Danio rerio: one gene and its partners. The main gene of each other region encodes a partner of the protein of the gene in region 4 in a complex. Links are inferred from orthologs where the notes say so. Each region holds a gene or a part of one and is shown on either strand. Other genes may lie near its edges. The genes, in order: gtf2e2, gtf2a1, polr2k, gtf2h5 and gtf2f1.

Region 1 (4,232 bases), on a different chromosome or scaffold from region 4:
ATTTTAAAGGAAACACTTTAAAAGTGTTTAAAATAACTGTAATAAATGTTTTCTGTGTTATAATAAACACCTAAAAAAAAAAAAAAATTTGCTTTTTGTATTTTTTTTATAAACTCAAATTTGAAAGTGTACCTTTTAGGTTCTGTGTGGTCTAGGTTGCAGTAAATTAATTTTGGTGGTTCCTGCACATGTCTGTAATCATGGAAAAAAAGAAAAATGTCTCTCTTTACCATAATCTATGAAAAAGTTATTGTATTCCAACTGATGAGAGGTGCTATACAAGCCACAGGGATCGATCATTGTATTCATATTTCTCTATTCTTCTGTTTGATCAAACATAATTCACTGTGTTTGGACCACGTCGGACATATAAAAGGATTACTTATGCACATCACCTCAAAAACAGAGGAGAAAGGCCCTAAAAAGCATAAGGTAAGAGATGACCGCTGTCTGTGCTATCTGGAGCTGCTTATTGATCATGAATGTATTGTTTTCACTTCTGGGCCATGGAAATACCGCGATTTATTCGAAAACTGTTTGATGTGAATATAATTCACTAAAAAGAACGCTATAACCTCATGAGCACGGACAAGAGATTTAATTTGAGCTATAACTTGTACCTGTGTCATATATGAATCTTGTGAAAAATATGAAATTGAACCAATGTTTAAGGCAAGGCAAGTTTATTTATATAGCACATTTCATACACAATGGCAATTCAAAGTGCTTTACATAAACAAGAATAAAAGAAACAAGTAAAATAAAAATAAAAATAAAAACAAATAATAAAACTGATTAAAAAACATAAAAACAGGTAAAATGTGATATAAAAGAATGAAGAAGAAGAGAAAAACATGATCTGTGTCCGACAGTGCAATCTGTCGGACGCAGCACAGTGCTCATTCAGTAAAGGCACAGCTAAACAGATGTGTTTTCAGTCTTGATTTGAATGTGCCTAATGTTGGAGCACATCTGATCATTTCTGGAAGCTGATTCCAGCAGCGAGGGGCATAGTGGCTAAAAGCCGATTCACCCTGCTTTGACTGAACTCTTGGAACTTCTAGTTTATATGATCCTAATGATCTGAGTGATCTGTTAGGTTTGTATTCAGTGAGCATATCTGTGATGTATTTAGGTCCTAGGCCATTTAGTGATTTATAGACCAGTAATAATACTTTAAACTCTATTCTGAATGTAACTGGCAGCCAGTGTAGAGACCTGAGGACAGGTGTGATGTGCTCTGATTTCCTGGTTCTGGTTAGAATTCTGGCTGCAGCGTTCTGGATGAGCTGCAACTGTCTGACTGTCTTTTTAGGAAGACCAGTGAGGAGTCCATTACAGTAATCCACCCTGCTGCTGATAAAAGCATGAACAAGTTTCTCTAAGTCTTCACTAGAAACAAAGCATCTGATTCTTGCTATGTTTTTGAGATGATATTAAGTGTAAATAACTTTTTTACAGTAGAATAAAAACCAAAGTGATGCATATGTGCATAAAATATAGCTTCTACACTTTCAAACAAAACCACTTTCCATGGAATTTAACTGGTTAAACTGTCACTAAATGCACTACAGAATGTTATGTTTTCTCACACACACACACACACACATTTACAAATTACATGTACCGGTAAATACATCAGCTTTTAACAGCGTAATACTCACTACTCTTGAGGACATTTAAAAGGACTACTTTTTACTCATATTTAATATTTACAACAGATATTTTTACTCTACTTGCACTACATTTCTTTGGTCAAGTAATGATACTTTTACTTGAGTATATTTTTTCAGTAGTCTTTCCACCACTGATGAAACCTAAGAAAACAAAACCACGAATGAGTGCTCAATTAAACAATAACTTTTAAATGAACATATTATATAGCCACAGCATATATATTAAGGTAAACTTGGTTTTATATTTACACATTCATTCAGTGGCAATTTGTGACACACTCCCTACATTGTTTACCACGGCACCTTGAATATTCAGTCTGAAATAAACTGCAAGTGTAATTTGAAAACTTGAACACTGTTTATTTGACTGTGAACATGTACTTTGATAATCATTGGCTGCTAATATGATTTCGCTATTTAGAGTTTGCAAATAGTACTTTTATGAAATTATATTAAGGAGGAAGTCCGAATGTGCGAATAAAAAACCGACTTTACCTCTATAGCACGTGATATGTTCCTTATATTTCTTAATCATTACTATTATTAACTTCTATAGATTACAGTAAATGATTATGTGATCAGTTTTCCCCCCATGTATGTTTAGATAACAGGGGCTGCTATTAATTCAGTCTCCACTAATAAATGTAACACTTTTCAAAGATTTTAAGGACATTTGGTGTTTCATTTATAGACACACATATAGACAGATGTTAATTTTATTCCTCATATTTAACTTAGATATTAAAGCACATTGCTCATGTTGAGATCTATGAGGTCAGTTGGAGGTTTAGCCTCGTCTAACATACTGAGATTTATAAGCCTACTTATTGACAGCTAATACTTCCATAGTGAACTGCACAGTGAACATCTAACACCTAGAAACTTAACTAATCGTCTAAAATCACAAATGGTATCAACTGGAAACATCCTAAACACATCAAACATGAAGCAATACATCCACAAAGAAAGAAACTGTGAGCATTACGTTACCTGAATCTGTCACTGCCTTCTCTCTCCGAGAGAAAGAGTTTTGAGGAATGTTAAATATTATTTCCAATTATCATACGCAATCAGCTTACTGACAAAGCAAAATGAAAAGCTTGTCATAGAACGCTAGCTATGCTATACAACTACATGTATTTCCTCCGGAAGACAAGTGTTCTTCTTCTTTGTTTGTAGTCGCGCAGTTTGCAAAGACGACCTTTGCCACCTGCTGGTCAGAAATCGTTTTACATGTGTTGCGATGTTCCCATTTATATTTATTAGCATTAATGGATTATTTTCAAACATTAATCTCGAAAAACATTATTTTTAAAAAAAGGTAAGTCTATTTTAAGCTTATACCCATACGCAACCCATCCTAATACAATTATGTGTGCTCTTCTCATCTTTTCCAGTAGGAGGCGCATGTTCTGATTTCTTTGCATAACACGGTCTCGTGCTCGTGAAGACAGAATGGCAGCTACAGATGCACAGAAAGTGATTGTTTACGGGGGAAAAGGAGCTCTGGGCTCGGCATGTGTGCAGTATTTCAAAGCTAAACACTGGGTAAGTTGTATAAACCCAGAAGACAAGACACATTATTGAAAATAACTATTTCCCCCCCTTTCAGTGTCATCAGACACGCTTCACGTGTTTTAGTAGTACTATTAATAATTAATTTACTCAAAACAATGTTATGTGTTTCTCATTAACTATATCGATTCATGCATTTCTTCTGGCCTGTAATATGTCAATAAGGAACATGTTTGTGTTTGTGGTTTTCAGTGGGTTGCCTCTATTGATCTCAGTGCCAATGAAGAAGCCAATGCCAATGTTACAGTTAAAATGACTGAGTCCTTCACTGAGCAAGCCAACCAGGTAAGAAGGAAATTATTTCCGATGACAGTCAAGCTTGTCAGGGTCAAAAATTATTACAAGGCTCAGGAAGATTCATTTTCCTAGATGTTCTTGCAGCAAGGGACTAATACAGAAGAAATACAGGTTCCATCCTGGTTGCTCAGAGAGCAGTCTTACAGGGCCAGTTTTTATACAGGCATACAAACAGATGATGAATCATTGTCTTTCATTCTTGTAAAAAAAAAAAAAAAACAATCTGTTTGGTAGAATTCAATTGATCATATACTCAACTTTTTGTCAGCACATTATTCCTGCAACTAGCACATTCCAACAATTTAACTCTTTAAAAACTAAAATTGAATATGTAATTATATCAAGAAGCGCATAAATGTATAACATTAACTTTTGGTTTCTTTAAAAGTATAATGTATTAATATAATATATGAAAATCAATCAAATAAATTTATCTAACAAGCTTATTTTAAGCAATTCCAGTGTCATGGGTTCAATTCCCAGGTAGTTTAACTGACATAAAAAAGTTTGTTCATTGCATCAATTTTGGTTGTTTAGCATAAAAGCATGGATATATATCCACGGGTTCATTTTATATTAGTTAAAGTCAGAATTATTAGCCATTATAAATATAATATATACATATAATTTTTTATCTAATAGACCCTTTTGGGTTCACAGTCTATTATTTGTTACAGAGGAAAT
Region 2 (3,513 bases), about 11 Mb from region 4:
GCTATTCACACCTCCTCCACTTGGCCGTCCTCTCCGCCGTCTTTCTCCTTGTCTTCATCCTCATCTTCATCATACTCGTCCTCCTCCTCTTCATCCTCCTCTGAGGACGTGTCTCCTGCGCCGTCTACCTGGAGCATCATAGGAGGTTGTTGCGAGGCCTGCTGCTGCTGTTGTTGTTGTTGCTGCTGCGCTTGTGGTTGAGTTTGCACCTGTGCATCTCCCGGTCCCGACTGCACTGCCATCGCTGCCGCCTGCATGACCTAAACAAGCACACACGATTCAATTCAAATTGAAGTTGATTTGTATAGCGACATTCACAATAATATTTTTTCAAAGCAGCTTCGCAAAAGGTGTACATTACTGCATTACAGTCAGAAAAATAAAGGTTATTAGTTACCTTATAAGTTACTAATCACTAATTGATTAGTAACTAAAAGCTTTTAACAGTGAAACTTATTATATTATAAACCTGTTAATTATTATATATCTAAACCGCAGTTATATAGGATATAGGTGATGCCTGTGTACATGTTCAATGAAATGTATTTGTGAGACATCAATTTCACAGACATCACAGAGATTTTAGTTTAAGGTGAGAGCTTGTGCTGACCTGAGTGTTCTGCGGTACTTTATTCCCCGTGAGGACGATCTGCTGCGGCTGGATGATGACTCCGGTTTGCTGAGGAAGACCTCCTTGAAGAGGAGTCAACACCTGCATCAATACACAGAGAGAGAGACACTTAATACACTCCTGTTCTCATAAACCGAGGTGTAGGAGAACAAGTCTAATCATTTAAACTAAAAGACCACTTGAAATACTTTGTTTCTCTGATTTATGCCTTTAAACGGACAGTTCACTCAAAAATGTAACTTTGCTCAATATTTACTAATACACAAGTGGTTCCAAACCTTTGAGTTTCGGCTGATATTTTGAAGAATGATGAAAAACTGACTTCCATAGTAGGAAAAACATTCTATTGAAGTCGATGGTTACAGGTTTTCAGCATTCTTCAAAATATCTTCTTTTGTGTTTTAACAGAAGAAAGAAGCTCATGAACAAGCAGAGGGTGAATAAATTGATCATTTACATTTTGGTAAAAATATAGCTTTAAGTTTTGTTTAAATATGGAGTATTTCTTTTTTAATTCTTTAAACTACTGATGGCATTTCGTACAGATTTAAAATAATGTTCTTTACTGCATACCCCACCCTAATAAATAAAACATGCAGTGTTTTCAGAAGTTATATACATTAATCATTTTTAAACAACATATTTTGCTATCATATTTGGTGGAAAAACCCCCAAGTTTCAAGCATAACAAATAAAAGCATTTGTTATTGACTAATTGTCATCGTCTAAAGCAAGGGTGCCCAAACCTTTTTCTAATGTAGGGCAAAAAAGGCTAATTTGAGTGAGGCTAGTGCACAGGTGTCAAACTCAGTTCCAAAAGGGCCGCAGCTCTGCACAGTTTAGTTCCAACCCTAATTAAACACACCTGATCAAACTAATTGAGTCCTTCAGGCTTGTTTGAAACCTACAGGTAAGCGTGTTGTAACAGGGTTGGAACTAAACTGTGCAGGGCTTCGGCCTTCCAGGAATTGAGTTTGACACCTCTGGGCTAGTGGGTCGAAGGTAAATATAGTTGTCATGAGTAAATTCCTAATTTATTTATTAATATTTAAAAATGACTAGAAAACATTGCTTTTTATTAACTAACAGTTTATTGTTAGAATTTATAAAAAATTTATTAGAATGTTGTATCAATAGTGAATAGTGTATCAGATCTTTATTAAACAAAGTAAGACTAGTTGTCTCTTCTCTACATCGGTTCTCCTCCTGCGAAGCATTCACTATTATTTCTGTTATTTCCTTTTTCAAACCGACTAAGAGAGCTGACAGGCATATAACATTGGCTAGCTAAAGACCACTGCTGACACGGGGAAACAAAACCCCACTGGTCACATGCTGTCACAGTAAACCCTGCAGCCTCCAGTGACTGAACTAGAAGTGAGTACAGCACAGGCTCATTAGAAATATGTGCCTTAGCCTACATTCCTGCCAAACAAACGTTGTTGCTCTGCATACATTTCATTGCACGTTTCAGATGACAAATACACTAGAGGGCGCTGTCTACACTTTGGGGAATCAGATAGACATTAATTAGGGCCCGTTTTGTTGTACATTTCAGTTAAACATCTTTCTTAAATAACACTAACCTAAACTCCTCCCTAATCCTAGATAATAGTTTCAAAAGTAAATGTAAGAACAACAAGTGCTGTTTTACCTTGATTTTACATTGCTTTATTCTGTCAAAAGTGTAATAAAAATAAGTGCTGTTTACCTTGATTTTGCATTGCTTTAATCTTTATTTGTCATGTGTAATAACAATAAGTGCTGTTTACCTTGATTTTACATTGCTTTAATCTTTGTCAAAGGTGAAAAAATAAGTGCTATTTATCTTGATTTTATATTACTTTAATCTTTTATTTGTCAAAAGTAGAGCAATAAGTGATGTTTACCTTGATTTTACATTGCTTTATTCTTTTACAAAAGTGTAATAAAAATAAGTGCTGGTTACCTTGATTTTGCATTGCTTTAATATTTTTTTGTCAAAAGTGTAATAACAATAAGTGATGCTTACCTTAATTTTACATTGTTTTAATCTTTTATTTGTCAAAAGCAGAGCAATAAGAGATGTTTACCTTGATTTTACATTGCTTTAATCCTTTATTTGTCAAAAGTAAATGTAAGAATAAGTGCCGTTTGCCTTGATTTTACATCGCTCTAATCTTTTTTGTGAAACAGTGCTTTACAGAACTCCTTGCATACACTACTGTACAAAGTGAGTTTCCAAGCAAACTGACCACACCAGAAAAGTTTTATACATATAGTTAAACAGGCGAGGCAAACATTTTTGATTATTAAAATCATAGACATTAAGTGGCTTTGTGGTATTTATTTGGTGTGTGCAAAAAATGCATACAAGTAATCCTTTATTCACTGACAATCGGTCCATAAATACCATTAGGGTGAAAAGGAAGTAAAGTTTTTGCAGTCTTACTGCCCTGTAGTGATCTTGTCACCAAGAATTTTTGATCAAACGGATGTTTGAGGACATTTTTGTGGTTTCTCAAAAATGAAGGATAAAACTTTCATTTCCAAGGAGCCTGTGTTGAGCAAGTCAAAGATTGATGAGAAAGTGAGTGTAGTGTTTGTGCAGAATAAAGCACAGACCTGCTGTATGACGGGGGCCTGAACACCCCCAGGCTGCATCTGCGGCAGAACCTGCTGCTGTAAAAGCATCTGCTGCTGAGGCTGAATGATGTACTGAGCTCCATTGGCAGCTCTGACCACCTGCAGGATCTGACCTGTAAAGCCACCAGACACATGCTTTTGTTAGGACAAATCTGTATTTATAGTGTTAACATGCAGTTAAAGATGGAAGGAAAAGGAAGGCATGTTGGACAGAATGTTGAAGACCTCTATTCATTGACTTCTATAGTATGGAAAAC
Region 3 (4,062 bases), on a different chromosome or scaffold from region 4:
GCATTTTATTTAGCAATATTTTTTACATTATGTTGGATTAATCGTTGTAATCATTTGGTATTTAAAGTGTGTTTTTATTTTATTAAGAATTTATTCATATTTCTACATCTTTACTAAAAACATTTGCTTTGAAGTTCTAAATGAAGTAAGAAATATGTTCACACATGAATGAGCGCATTTCTGAGTATATACTTTAAAATGTAAAGAACAAAAACAAATAGTGCTTGAGATGTGGTCAATATACTGAGGTTGGCGCCCTTTAATTTTCTCTAGGCCAGTTTCATTAGTTTGCCTTTTTTTAAAGGTCCTGTGAAACTCAAACTAAACTTTTTTTTAGATGTTAGTTTTAAGGATATCTATTAGCTAGTAGGGTTGGGTCGATGGACGAAGCCATCGTCGATAGACATATCGATGCTGAGCTGGCATCGCTAACCTCCACCCCACCGTAGCAGCAATCCGTTTGTGAAAAATACACACTTAGGCCCCGTTTACACTAAAGCCTGATTCATACTTCTGCGTCAGGTGACCGGCGTAACCCACGGCGCAGGCAACGCGCGTGGCTGTGCATTTATACTTCTGCGCGCTGTCTCTGTCGGTTTGCATTAACACTTCCGAAACGCTAGTTGGCAGTGAGGTGTAAATGTTCCTCTGTGTTGAGTTTCTTCGCTACTTTTTTGCATTTCCTGAACACTTCTGGGATGTACAAGTGGCTCAAACTCGCTCATTTTAAGGCAGGAACCGGCGGACGTGCAACAACTTTAACTATAAGGTAAACACAAAACAAAACTTTCCATCCGGAGCTCCATCACGGGACTCCACACTTGTAAACAATCGCTCGCGCGGCGTCGCGCCATTCGCGCAGCTCTCGGTCCCGCCCAGACTCGTCAGCGCTACCAAGCCGACCAATCACAGAGCTTGCGCTACGCGTTGTTGCGATGTGTAGTTACATTTTTTGAGAGGTGCACGTCAGTGACGGCGATGGCCACGGCGAAGGGCTATGCGTCAGCGCCGTAGCATACGCCGGTGTTTGACCCAGAAGTATAAATCAGCCTTAATACATCTTAGTTTTAAAATGGCATTTTAGAACAAAAGCGACCTACGTCCACACAGGCGTTTCATCTAGCATTTCTGAAAAGCCTTCCTTCCACTCGATATCGATGAAAATGCACACTGTTATGCCTGCAGTATACATTCGTATCAGAGCTTCAGACATTTTGGTCTTTTGAATCTATCAGGTAATGTGTCACAGCATCAGTACACTGCTTCGGTGTTTCGCTTTCATGCTTATACTTAGTAATTTTAGTGAAAACCTCAGATACAGTTGGTTGGTTGTGCACCTTTTTTTCCCAACCAAGTTTGTCAATGTCATTGTAAAGACACAGATCACTCTATTGGCCTATTCATGCCAGAGTCCAATGGAAAAAGTGATTGAAAGGTGGTAATTTGTGTGCAACTTTATTTATTTTTGATTTGGTTATGGGTAAAACAAAGACCTTGTGGGTCAGGTAGTTGAAACATGGGCTACAAATAATTAATCCGTTATGAATTAATAATTAATTCACTGACGCCTACAATAACGATGTTATCGTCCATTACTTTGTTTCACATTATACATCATATGATGGCAAATTGGTCAACATCGCCCAATCCTATTAGCTAGTGTGCTCCAAAACAGTGACACAATATGCATTTAGAAAATGTAAAACTAATAAACATCCAGAGCTTAAAATTACATCAAATATGTTTATTTGAAATTATTTTTCACATGTATGTGTATTTTCAAAATGTAGGAATATACGTGTTCCCCAGTTTGTACATAAGCTACCAGCAGCTGTGAGATTTCAGTTAATTTACTTTTATTATACATTAAACTACAAACTAGTGTACTTTTCTTGGCTATCAAGTAAAATAAAGAAGTATTGCAATAAGTTTTTTCTCCTTAACCTCTTACTAAGGCTAACTGTATTGTTGTATCCCTAGTTACTATATCATGACATATCTCATTATTAGCAAATGAGAGGATTATAGCGTGAAATTAATTTAATCAACTTTTTTTGTCGTATCAACCAGGCCTACCACAAAGCATTGGTTTAGTTGATAAAGGATACATCTTTTGGTCCTCTTTTTGTACATGATCCTGTAACCACACTCTCTGCATCTGATGGGGTCTCTGGCCTTGATCTCGTTTTCTGTGTGACACTCTGAAACAAACACACACACACACACACACACACACACAAAATTTCAAGCTCAAAAACAGACTAGATTGTGAACATCTTGATTGTTTAGCATTAAGAAAGAAATGACTGATTACAAAAATATAATCAATACATAAACCTTCTAATAGATCAATATACATATAGATTATAAACATAAATACAATCAAAAGAGCAATCACCTCCACAAATGTAGATCATTGGCTGTTGTTTGGGGGGCTGAATGTCTTTCTGAGAATCCATGGCTTAAAGCAAACACACAAACATGATTATATAGTCTAAATTGAATAAATTCATTAGAATATTACACATTATTTGACCTAAACCTATCGTAAGAGCACATTTAAGAGATGCTGCACTATGCACAAACACGTTCTTCCATTATAAACCCAACAAGACACGTAATTCATCATATTAAAATTGCAATAAAACCCCGCACATATCATTCATCCTGTCATTTATCAGTGTACAAACGAGTACGAAATGTAAACATTCAAAGCATTAGCTACCTTTCACGCGTGAGCTCTCTGTTTGCTTCGAAACGTTTTTCGTTCACGCATGCGCACAAGCGACATCACATCACAGTAACGAACAATGCTATTGGTTGGCAAGAATTGAACCAATCTCGTCATACGCCGCCAGGAGGGAGGACATTACCATTTTACGCAGAGACTTACAGGTTCATCTGGGACTTTTATTTTATTACTGCCAGCAATTTCAGATGGCGGAGAAAAACTTCGCGGCGACGTTTTTAAACATTCATTTAGTGACAGACGTACGTAACCATGAAGACGTATTATTTGTGTACTTTTTTGTTTAACGCTAATGGTTTATATTAATTCATGTGTAACGCTGTTATTAAACCTGTCCTGAAATTGTGAAACAGTCTAAACACATTTATTTACTAACAGAAATGTGTTATTATTAATGAATAATTATTATTTGATTTTTTGTATGAGTGAAATGTGTTTCGTACATTGTCACTTGATTTGTCGGTGTTGTTGACGGTCTCAGAGCAGGAAGTAACGTTAGTGAGTCGCAGCTGCAAAAACTGCCAGTAACGTTAAACGTTCAGCTCTCGGGTAAGTTTGCAAAACTTTACTGTCAGTATTATATACTATTATATGTTTTATAGGTATAACCAGATAGTCTGTACACTGTTAGTATTTATGTTTGTAATGTGTTTTTTTTTTACTGGCAGTCGTAATCCCGCCTCACCCTTTCAGTTTCTGTTTCTCGGCAATGTGTTTAATACATATCAACATTCCCATTTATAATGTGTTTATAACGAAGGTATATGTCAGAACAAGCTGATCCAGCCAATTGTCATTTATTCATATTAATAGAGTTACTAATTATTGATAGCTGTTTATCTTTTTGATATACTGAAATGTTTTGTTACTGTTTCAATAATACTGAAATACTGCTAATTCCTTAAATATTATTATGATTTTTTAAAACTAATGTTCATTTTTAGAGCAAAAGATAGATATACTTTGCATTTGAAGGTAATTCAAATCCACAGGACACATGTTGGCCATTAATAACTAAATCAAGTGTAAGCACAAGTAATTAAAACGGTTTATGAAATGTAATAACATATTTAAATTATTTAATATTCCATAGTTATCAACAGGTGTATGCATTGTAACTATTGAGGGCAGCAATATTCAGAAACTATCCCCAAAAGACATCTCAGAAAGATATTCATGTTTTGTTTTTATGTTGAATGTCTAGAATGATTGTATTGTAATCAAAATGGTTCCGTCAGTAACATTACAGTTATACAATAGATAATAAACAACAAATAAGACTTCCTATTAGCAGCGCTTTTGTACATTCTCAC
Region 4 (4,192 bases):
AGTGCATCACACCACTTTTACTTCCTCTTTAAGACATGCTGGATATTTTTCAAATCGAATGCAGTTCACTCTTTTAATTTTCCCTTCACCACAAGGTAAAATCTTTTTACCAGTTTCAGGATCAAATATTGAAGGCTTGTATTGGTGTTGTAGAACATAAACAGGAAGGGAACCTAAACCTACACAAACTGGCAATACCACAGAGTAGATCAAATTAAATCCTATGTTTTGAGGAGACAAATGAATAAGAACACATTAAATACTTTAGTTGAATTCTTCTGTTTATTTGACACTAAGCATATTATGCATGAAGTTAAATCACAGACATCACCCGTCTGCATTCAGTATGACATATACTTTCAGTAAAACATAACTATTTGTAGGCAATGCCATCTTGCATGTAAAACAATACTTTCAAAACACAGGACAGCCTCTGTCTTTTAAACATATGTCTTTAAAAACATAAACAGTTTAAAGTTATACTTTTTTCAGATAAAAGAACTTTGCAGTCAAACTAAACCAAAGAGAATACACATCATCATCCCTGTAGGCAGTCATCGTCTCTATATTTCAGCTTCATCTGTGTTTGTGCAATTGTGCTGAAAGAATCTCCACATCCATCTGCTCCCACAGACTGAAGGGTCTTGCTGTCAAGGTTCAGATGTTTATTTCTGGGTGATGGGAAATGAATTCTGGTCCATCAGTTCTCCTACTCGCTCCTGGAGAATCTGCACAACTTCAGCTAAGATGAAAACATGCGTGTCGTCCAAATCCTGGATGATGAATTTCTTCCCCAAAGCTGACGTCTCATCCAGATATAGTAGAAACTGCTTCATAGCTGGATCACTGGGTCACATTTAAAAAAAAAAAGAGAGAGAATTATATATGAAGGTGCACTACTACTAGAGCATGACTTTTATTTTAAAGGTGCACTAAGAATAGAGGTTTGTCAAGCCTGTATTTGATGTTATTGACATCTGGCTTTTTTCAGATTGAGGTAAAGTGGGTTTTATATCCTGCATATTCAGATTTTCTCCTTATAATATAATTTCAGAAAAGTATTCTTTACAAATTCTAAATAGGAAAATCATATAAGCAGCCAATAACTATCAAAGTACAACATTGTTCACTGTCAGTTAAATCGTGCTAATGTTGTTTTGAAGTCATACTTAAATTAAATTTCAGACCCCATATTCAAATTAGCGTGGTAAACGATATAGAGAGCTTTAAAATGAACAAATATAAAAAAATAACTTTACCTCAATTATTTTCAGTTGCTTCTCAGGAAGTAAACCATCGAAATTGTGACAATAAACAGAATTAAGTTCACAAATACTGCACAATTTGAAAGTTTAACTGATCCGATACCGTGCTAAGGATGTTGCCTCGTGGTAAAGAAAAAGTTTTTAGTTACAGGTAACAGTGAATAAATCCAAAATCTAACAAAACGTGCTCAGGGGTAGCTTATATAATCGGTGCTCTTTGGGTAAGGGATTCATCAAAATGAACAGCAAAAATCCATCCAAAGCACTCGAAAAATATGGAAAAAATTTTAAAAAGCCTTTATTCACATAAAAAAACTACAGTTTTTTGCCTTTATAAAACAAAGAACTGTTCTTTTCCGAAACGCGTAGGTTTTTTAAAGATTAGCCATGTGAATAAAGACTTTTTAATATTTTCTCCACATTTTTCAAATGCTTTGAACTGATTTTTGCCGTTTAACAGTGAATAAATGTTAACCATCTGTCGACTGTAATTATATTCTCGCAAGTAACGTTTACGTTAGTGAACAGTTGTTCAGCAACATTGCTTTAGTGGCGTAAAAATGTAAAATAAAAGTACTTTTCTACTAGGGCTGCACAATATTGGAAAAAATATACATTGCAATAATTTTTATTCCGTGATATACACTGCAATATGAATACAATTTCACCAGATTAGTTAAAAAACGGTTTGTAAATAATTTATAATTTTAGACGGATTGGGATGATTCATAACATATAACAAGCAACCTACAAGCATAGATGAATTCAATAAAGAAAAAATTGCTAATTAAATAAACAGCATTTTATTGCTTTCTGAAGAGTCTAAATGTATTCAGGTACACATGAATTAAATAATCAGATGTAAAATAATACTGCATAGTCTTTGTTTTTTATAAACAAGTCAATAAAACGAATCATTATAGCAAAATGATTAATTATAATCCAGACTCAACATTGTGATCACATTGCGATATCGATGCTGAAACGATATATTGTGCAGCCCTATTTTCTACTAATCGGATATGAATCCACATTGTGTGTAAGCACATTAGATTTAACACATTTCTTAAATAAACCCACCGTTGGATTCTCGTTTAAATGTTGTATTGAGGTAAAATGACCAGTGCAGCTTTAAATGGCAGTGGTATGTAAAACTTACCATTCAACGAGAACTCCTTTCAACACGTTGACCATTTTGGACGGGGTGTGTTAACACTAACGTAACTTACTGCTGCTTCAGTAAAGGTACAGTAAAAGCTCTGTATGAGAGAAAACGAAATAGCAACAAAGCCGTCCACCATGAATGACGTTAGTCCTTACAAATATTTTACATTTTGTTTACAGCTCTTAAACCTATACTTTAAAGACAGCGTTAAAACATACACACTAACATTCTTATTGTCTTTTGCCACTTTACTTTGTTGCAGTGACTGGTGTCAGAAAACTATTTAGCGTTTAGAAACAATGGTTTTCCTCTACTCACCGACTAGTATTGGACCAGTCAACTCCACTACCCTCTGCTGGCTTGGAGCGCAGTTCAGATCCTATTTGACTGCTCTCATACCCTGACAGAAAAGTACAACACCCACCTGGAAGTTTCTCGCAATCCTGAAGACTTTGATTATTTGGGACATATCTGTTTTGAATTGCGAATACTAATCCCTTTTTATTTAACGGTTACAATAGTGTGTCATAGAGATTAGAGTACTCATTTGCATTACAATACCGCTACTGTGCATTCGTTCATTTCCCTTCGGCTTAGTACCTCTATTCATCAGGGCCCACTTCTCCAGCATATGTTTTACACAGCGGATACTCTTCCAGCTGCAACCTAACTGGGAAACATCCATTCACACTCATATACTATTCACCTATAGAGCATGTCTTTGCAGTTTGGACTGTTGGGGAAACCGGAGCACCCGGAAACCCAATGCCAACACGGGGAGGACATGCAAACTCCATACAGAAATGGCAACTTACCCATCCAGGACAAGCCACGGTGTTGCCCTGCTTTACAGTGAAAGTGTTTATTCTTGGAGAGGAAAGTTTGGATTCAAAACTTTATTCACATGACAAAGATTTGGCAAAATAAAGTACTGTGGTCAGTGAATTAGTACAAATGTATTGGCAATTACAGCAACATCAGTACTTGTGTGTCTGAGGTAGTAGAAAGAAAGCTGGTGAACCAAAAAAAACAAGGCAAGGTTTCATTAGCATGTCTATTTTGTTCAAGTAGAATAAATATTATAAATAAAACTGAGTTTAAAAATGTGCAGTGATGTAGTAAACATACTAAGTTTGATAATCCTTTTTTTTGTTATGTCTAGTTAAAATAAATGCTAACAAGTGCTCATTCAAATTACTCTGAAATGATATACAGTACAAGGCTTTGAAGGGGTAAAACATTAAAAGTTAAACAAGGATTTTACCATAATACATATTCATATGGCAAGCATAAATAATAATAACAATACAAGTGAAATGTCAGTGGTATTTCAAATGTACAGGACATTACAGTTTAGATGTCCAAAAAGCTCCAGTTGCAATTGTAAAACTTCCTTCCTTCATGGCAGTCATAGATAACACTATCTTTTAAAAAGTGATGCTTAAATCCTTAAGAAAGCAATTGAAACTGTAAAGACTTTCACTTAATTCTACGTCCCCCAAGAGCATCCTGAATAAACTGTAAAGTACGCTTATAAAGAAACGTGTCCTTCTTTTCTGGCTTGCAGATGTTGAGGTGATCAACGTCCACCTGGATGAGGTCTCCAATACCCAGATCTGAAAGAGCAAAAGAGGAAACCGTGATACCAGGTACCTAAAACTAACAATCATTATAAACCAGGGGTGTCGAACTCAATTCCCCGAGCTGCTCTGCACAGTTTAGTTCCAAACCTGCTTCAACACACTTACTTGTAGGTTTCAAT
Region 5 (4,181 bases), on a different chromosome or scaffold from region 4:
TATTGTTCTGTTGATTTATTGACACTCATTTAGATTGTATTCCTACTATCTTAAGCGTGTTAAAAATTTTTCCAAACTCAAGAATTGTTTGAAAAGTTAAATGCATGTTTGGCATGCTCTCCTGGGGGGTAGCCCTGAAGGTCCTTGAAACTCTTGTTTAATGGAGAGAAAGTGGATTCTGAGCTCAGATACGTCTCAAGAACTCCCTTAAATTAAGCTAGGAAAGAAGGAAAGAAGTCAGGGAGGATGGGGGATTCTTTAAGGTGAAGATGGCTAAGGTAAGGACATCAGGGGATATTTGTAATAAGGTGCTATAAAGAAAAGTTGATTGATTAATTGATGCAAGGTCTCTGGATGCACACTGTAACAGACTGTGCAATGGGCCCGTAACTGGTCAGTTCCACCCAAAGTGTTTCACCCTAGCTAGGAACCGAATAGACATAAAGGCCAATCAGCCACGGGTTTTACTTTATTTCATAGTAAAGCAAAACGCTTAAAAAATGTATTTTGCAATGTTTTTGGCAACTTAGGATGTGCCCTGTGTCCCACCCAACACTACCTTACAGGACACACCCTAATCCTAACTCTAGGTCCCATATATTTCAAAAGGCCAAAGTGCACAACTAAAATTTTAAATTCACCAAAACAAGGCTGTGAAACACTTAAAGAACATTTGTTTACAAGACTTCTGAGAATTGGATCTTGTGAAAATCATTTTGTTTATTTACTCACAGACAACAATTTATTGAATAAAATTTTCTAAGTCACTTTTTGAGTGAAAATGGTTTATGTAAGAAGGAGTGAACTATCATTACTAAGGCAGTGATTTACACCTGAGAAGACAAAGACCTGCATAATGAGCTGCATAATAAGCCATCAGACAGGTATGTGACTAAGAGGAAAGAGTTTCAAGAAAGAATCTGTGGAAAAAAATAAGTTTATAAAACAATTTTTGTTTGCAGTTTATTTAAAATATTTTTATTAATCACACAGAATAACTGGAGATACACTTGTGAGAGTCAGTTCCTTGTATAAAACTCTGTAAACTTACATTTAGCAAATCTACTGAAAAAGTTACTTATAAATACACTTTATATATAACTTAAGTCATGCACTTGACTTTACACATGAAACATTATGTACAGAAGACACATTCAGGGCAAAATCAACAATGTAAATATAAAGTGTAAGATAATAAAGGGTGTAAAGTTTGTAAATGGCCAGTGAGAGCATCACATGGTCTTAGCTGTGGTCCAGGATCATGTACAGGAAGGAATCTCAGAGCCTGTGGAGCCATGCAGCATCAGTCTCGTTTTTCAATGACTGAGTAGGCAGCTTATTTGCTTTAGCTTTCCTTGTTACTGGTTCTTTACCGCTGTTGTTTTCACATCTAGAAAAATTAAGCAAGCTGATTACATGAACTACATTGTTAACATCTTTGTGATGTTTACTAATACTAGTACTAATTTACCTAATAAACTCGTTACCACATATGAATGATCAACTAAACAGCACCTGTTTTGTAAATAACTGTCAGTATTTTCACAAGCTTAGCATATTTCATATAACATACATTTTTTTTACATAGGCCTATGTTTATCATTATATGCTATATATGTTATAGGATACAATTTGTACAGCAATAAAATTATAAGTAGCCTGTAAAGACATGTTTCATGTAAATCATGAAGGTAAGAATTAAAAGACTTACTCCACAGGGATTCTATCCTCCACTGGGTCTATATGTTCTTCAAAATGTATGCATTCGTCAGAGTCATGCTCTTCTTCTGAGGAGAACGTAAATTCTTCGTTGCTGTCTAGTACCATCAAAAGTGCTTCTTCACTCGTGTAGCGTGCCATCGCTCAAAAGCGCAGAAAAAGTAAGTAACTCTATGAGGAAGCTTGTCGGTGTGTAAAATATTACCTGGCTCACCTCAGTTCATCTCCATATAAACACCGCGCTCAATGAGAGGCGGGATCATGTTAGCTGTAATGAGGCGATACCGGAGACACACTATAACAGACTGTTATAGTGTCTGTAACTGGTCAGTTCCACCCAGAGTGTTTCACCCTAGCTAGGAAGCGAATAGACACAAAGGCCAATCAGCCACGTGTTTTAATTTATTCCATAGTTAAGCAAAAGCACTTTAAAACTATTTTGCATTTTTTTGGCAACTTAGAATGTGTCCTGTGTCCCACCCACCACTACCTTACAGGACACACCCTGATCCTAACTATAGGCTTTTACCTGGGGTGAACAGACAGCAAGATATATTCCAGAAGTGGATAATTCAATTAAATTCAAGGAAATGATTGATTGATTGATTGATTGATTGATAGATTGATTGATTGATTTATTGATTTATTGATTGATTGATTGATTGATGCAAGGTCTCTGGATGCACACTATAACTGACTGTACAATGGGCCCGTAACCGTGAAGAGTGTGTCTAGACCTACCTGTTTGTGATTTGTTGTCTTGCTTGTCGCCTTCATGTTTCCTCACGGATGCACATGAAGCATTCACATGCTCTTTGTTTTGATAGTTCACCATGTGCTCCGCTATCAGCATATCCTTTTCCCCGCCTCCTTGTTATACTAGTTATTCCCTTATTTAGCAATTATTGTCACCTGTAGCTCCTTGATTTTCTCCTCTATTTAATTCCCGCTTACCTACTTGTCTTTGTCAGACAGTCTTGCGTGTTTTGCTAGCTCACTCCTATTGGTGTCATTGTTTGTGGCACTCGGACTCCACCGCCTGCCGACATCCGCCCACCGGCATCTACTCAGCTTCCTGCTTCTCTGCACACGAGGCCTGGAGACTCGCCATTTCCATGAGTTCGATCAAGTGAGAAACGCAGTGACCCAGCAGGGCATTCTTCGAGGACAACAGGCAAACTCAATTAACTGCCACTTCTCAAGAAGTTGAGTTTCTGACGGCTCAGGTTGCGGCACTCAATGCTCTAGTCCAGGACCTACAGCTAAATATCAGAGCTGGTAGGCAGGCAGCCTTTCCTCTCCACCTGGATCATGAGCCGCACGGTAATTGTCCACCACCATTTGACGGGGACCACAGCTCCTGTCTGTCTTTCTTGTCTCAGAGTTCGCTGGTCTTTGCTCTTTAGCCACGCCGTTACGCCACTGAGGAGTCCAGAGTGGCATTTGTTATTACCCTTCTTAAGGGCAGGGCTCGAGACTGGGCCACCGCTGTGTGGGATACACAGGCCCCCTTTTGTGCCATTTTTGATGACTTCCGTGATGAAATGACCAAGCTGTTTGATCGGTCAGCTCAGGGGGATGAGGCAGATTCTCTTTTGGCCCAGCTAAGCCAGAACGGGTGTTCAGTGACCGACTACTCCGTTCAATTCAGGAGCCTAGCAGCGGCCTGCGCTTGGAATGAAACAGCTCTTCGAGCGAGGTTTTGGGATGGTCTGGATGATTAGATCCAGGACAAAATCGCCACCCACGATCACCCACATGACTTCGACGCCCTGGTTGACCTTGCTCTTCTTGTTGAGGGCCGCCTCCTTCGCCGTCAACATCGGCGGGCGACCCATTCCTCCTGGAGGGCTGAGGAGGGTTTTTCAAGCTTGCTCCACACTCCTCTACCCATTCCTGATCAGGAGCCGATGCAGGTGGGGCATCTGCAACTAACCGCACAGGAGAAATGACATTGGTTGGTTAGGGGCTTGTGCCTGTACTGTGGGAAACCAGGTCATCAGGCTGTCCAGTGCCCGTTAAAAGCCCCGACACCAGTAGTATGGGGGATTCTGGTGGGCACAATCCCTTGCTCTGACACCCACACATATCATACCTCACTGCCAGCCTCTCTACAATGTGGAGATGTCGTCCATTCGTGCTCTGCCATGATCGACTCCAGAGCCGAGGGCAACTTTTTAGACAGCACCACCAATGAGTCCTGGGGCATTCTTGCTATCCCTCATTCCTCTCCTATCACTGTCCGCTCCCTGAATGGTCTTACCATCACCTCCATCACCCATTCTACTCCTTCTGTAAGTTTAATTATTTCTGGAAATCCCCGTGAGGATATTAATTTATACTTAATTGACTCCCCGAGTGCTCCTGTAGTATTGGGGCACCCATGTGTGGTGTTTTGTATAGATTTGTAAATGAATATCAGCCGGACAACTCTGCTTAGCTCCACACTACTTCACTTTATT

What was found.
Region 1: gtf2h5 (region 4) and gtf2e2 share a complex: the UniProt entries of both Homo sapiens proteins name them as parts of the TBP-based Pol II pre-initiation complex. The link is inferred for Danio rerio from reciprocal best matches to the Homo sapiens genes GTF2H5 and GTF2E2.
Region 2: gtf2h5 (region 4) and gtf2a1 share a complex: the UniProt entries of both Homo sapiens proteins name them as parts of the TBP-based Pol II pre-initiation complex. The link is inferred for Danio rerio from reciprocal best matches to the Homo sapiens genes GTF2H5 and GTF2A1.
Region 3: gtf2h5 (region 4) and polr2k share a complex: the UniProt entries of both Homo sapiens proteins name them as parts of the TBP-based Pol II pre-initiation complex. The link is inferred for Danio rerio from reciprocal best matches to the Homo sapiens genes GTF2H5 and POLR2K.
Region 5: gtf2h5 (region 4) and gtf2f1 share a complex: the UniProt entries of both Homo sapiens proteins name them as parts of the TBP-based Pol II pre-initiation complex. The link is inferred for Danio rerio from reciprocal best matches to the Homo sapiens genes GTF2H5 and GTF2F1.

What each region holds. Positions count from the first base shown.
Region 1 is NC_133176.1:24,433,561-24,437,792, reverse strand, and holds the start of gtf2e2 (transcription initiation factor IIE subunit beta), read right to left. Parts: upstream 2,808-4,232; 5' UTR 2,667-2,807; intron 1-2,666. UniProt on the Homo sapiens protein: Recruits TFIIH to the initiation complex and stimulates the RNA polymerase II C-terminal domain kinase and DNA-dependent ATPase activities of TFIIH. Both TFIIH and TFIIE are required for promoter clearance by RNA polymerase.
Region 2 is NC_133195.1:17,666,252-17,669,764, forward strand, and holds part of gtf2a1 (transcription initiation factor IIA subunit 1), read right to left. Parts: intron 3,370-3,513; coding exon 3,236-3,369; intron 713-3,235; coding exon 611-712; intron 261-610; coding exon 12-260; intron 1-11. UniProt on the Homo sapiens protein: TFIIA is a component of the transcription machinery of RNA polymerase II and plays an important role in transcriptional activation. TFIIA in a complex with TBP mediates transcriptional activity.
Region 3 is NC_133194.1:13,081,112-13,085,173, reverse strand, and holds the start of polr2k (DNA-directed RNA polymerases I, II, and III subunit RPABC4), read right to left. Parts: upstream 2,806-4,062; 5' UTR 2,726-2,805; intron 2,462-2,725; 5' UTR 2,460-2,461; coding exon 2,399-2,459; intron 2,202-2,398; coding exon 2,109-2,201; intron 1-2,108. UniProt on the Homo sapiens protein: DNA-dependent RNA polymerase catalyzes the transcription of DNA into RNA using the four ribonucleoside triphosphates as substrates.
Region 4 is NC_133195.1:28,728,760-28,732,951, forward strand, and holds gtf2h5 (general transcription factor IIH subunit 5), read right to left. Parts: upstream 2,801-4,192; 5' UTR 2,683-2,800; exon of another isoform or gene 2,657-2,682; intron 2,525-2,656; 5' UTR 2,460-2,524; coding exon 2,425-2,459; intron 847-2,424; coding exon 666-846; 3' UTR 261-665; downstream 1-260. Other genes in the region: protein SERAC1, read right to left, coding at 3,910-4,046. UniProt on the Homo sapiens protein: Component of the general transcription and DNA repair factor IIH (TFIIH) core complex, which is involved in general and transcription-coupled nucleotide excision repair (NER) of damaged DNA and, when complexed to CAK, in RNA transcription by RNA polymerase II.
Region 5 is NC_133178.1:32,768,064-32,772,244, forward strand, and holds the start of gtf2f1 (general transcription factor IIF subunit 1), read right to left. Parts: upstream 2,807-4,181; 5' UTR 2,497-2,806; coding exon 2,461-2,496; intron 1-2,460. UniProt on the Homo sapiens protein: TFIIF is a general transcription initiation factor that binds to RNA polymerase II and helps to recruit it to the initiation complex in collaboration with TFIIB. It promotes transcription elongation.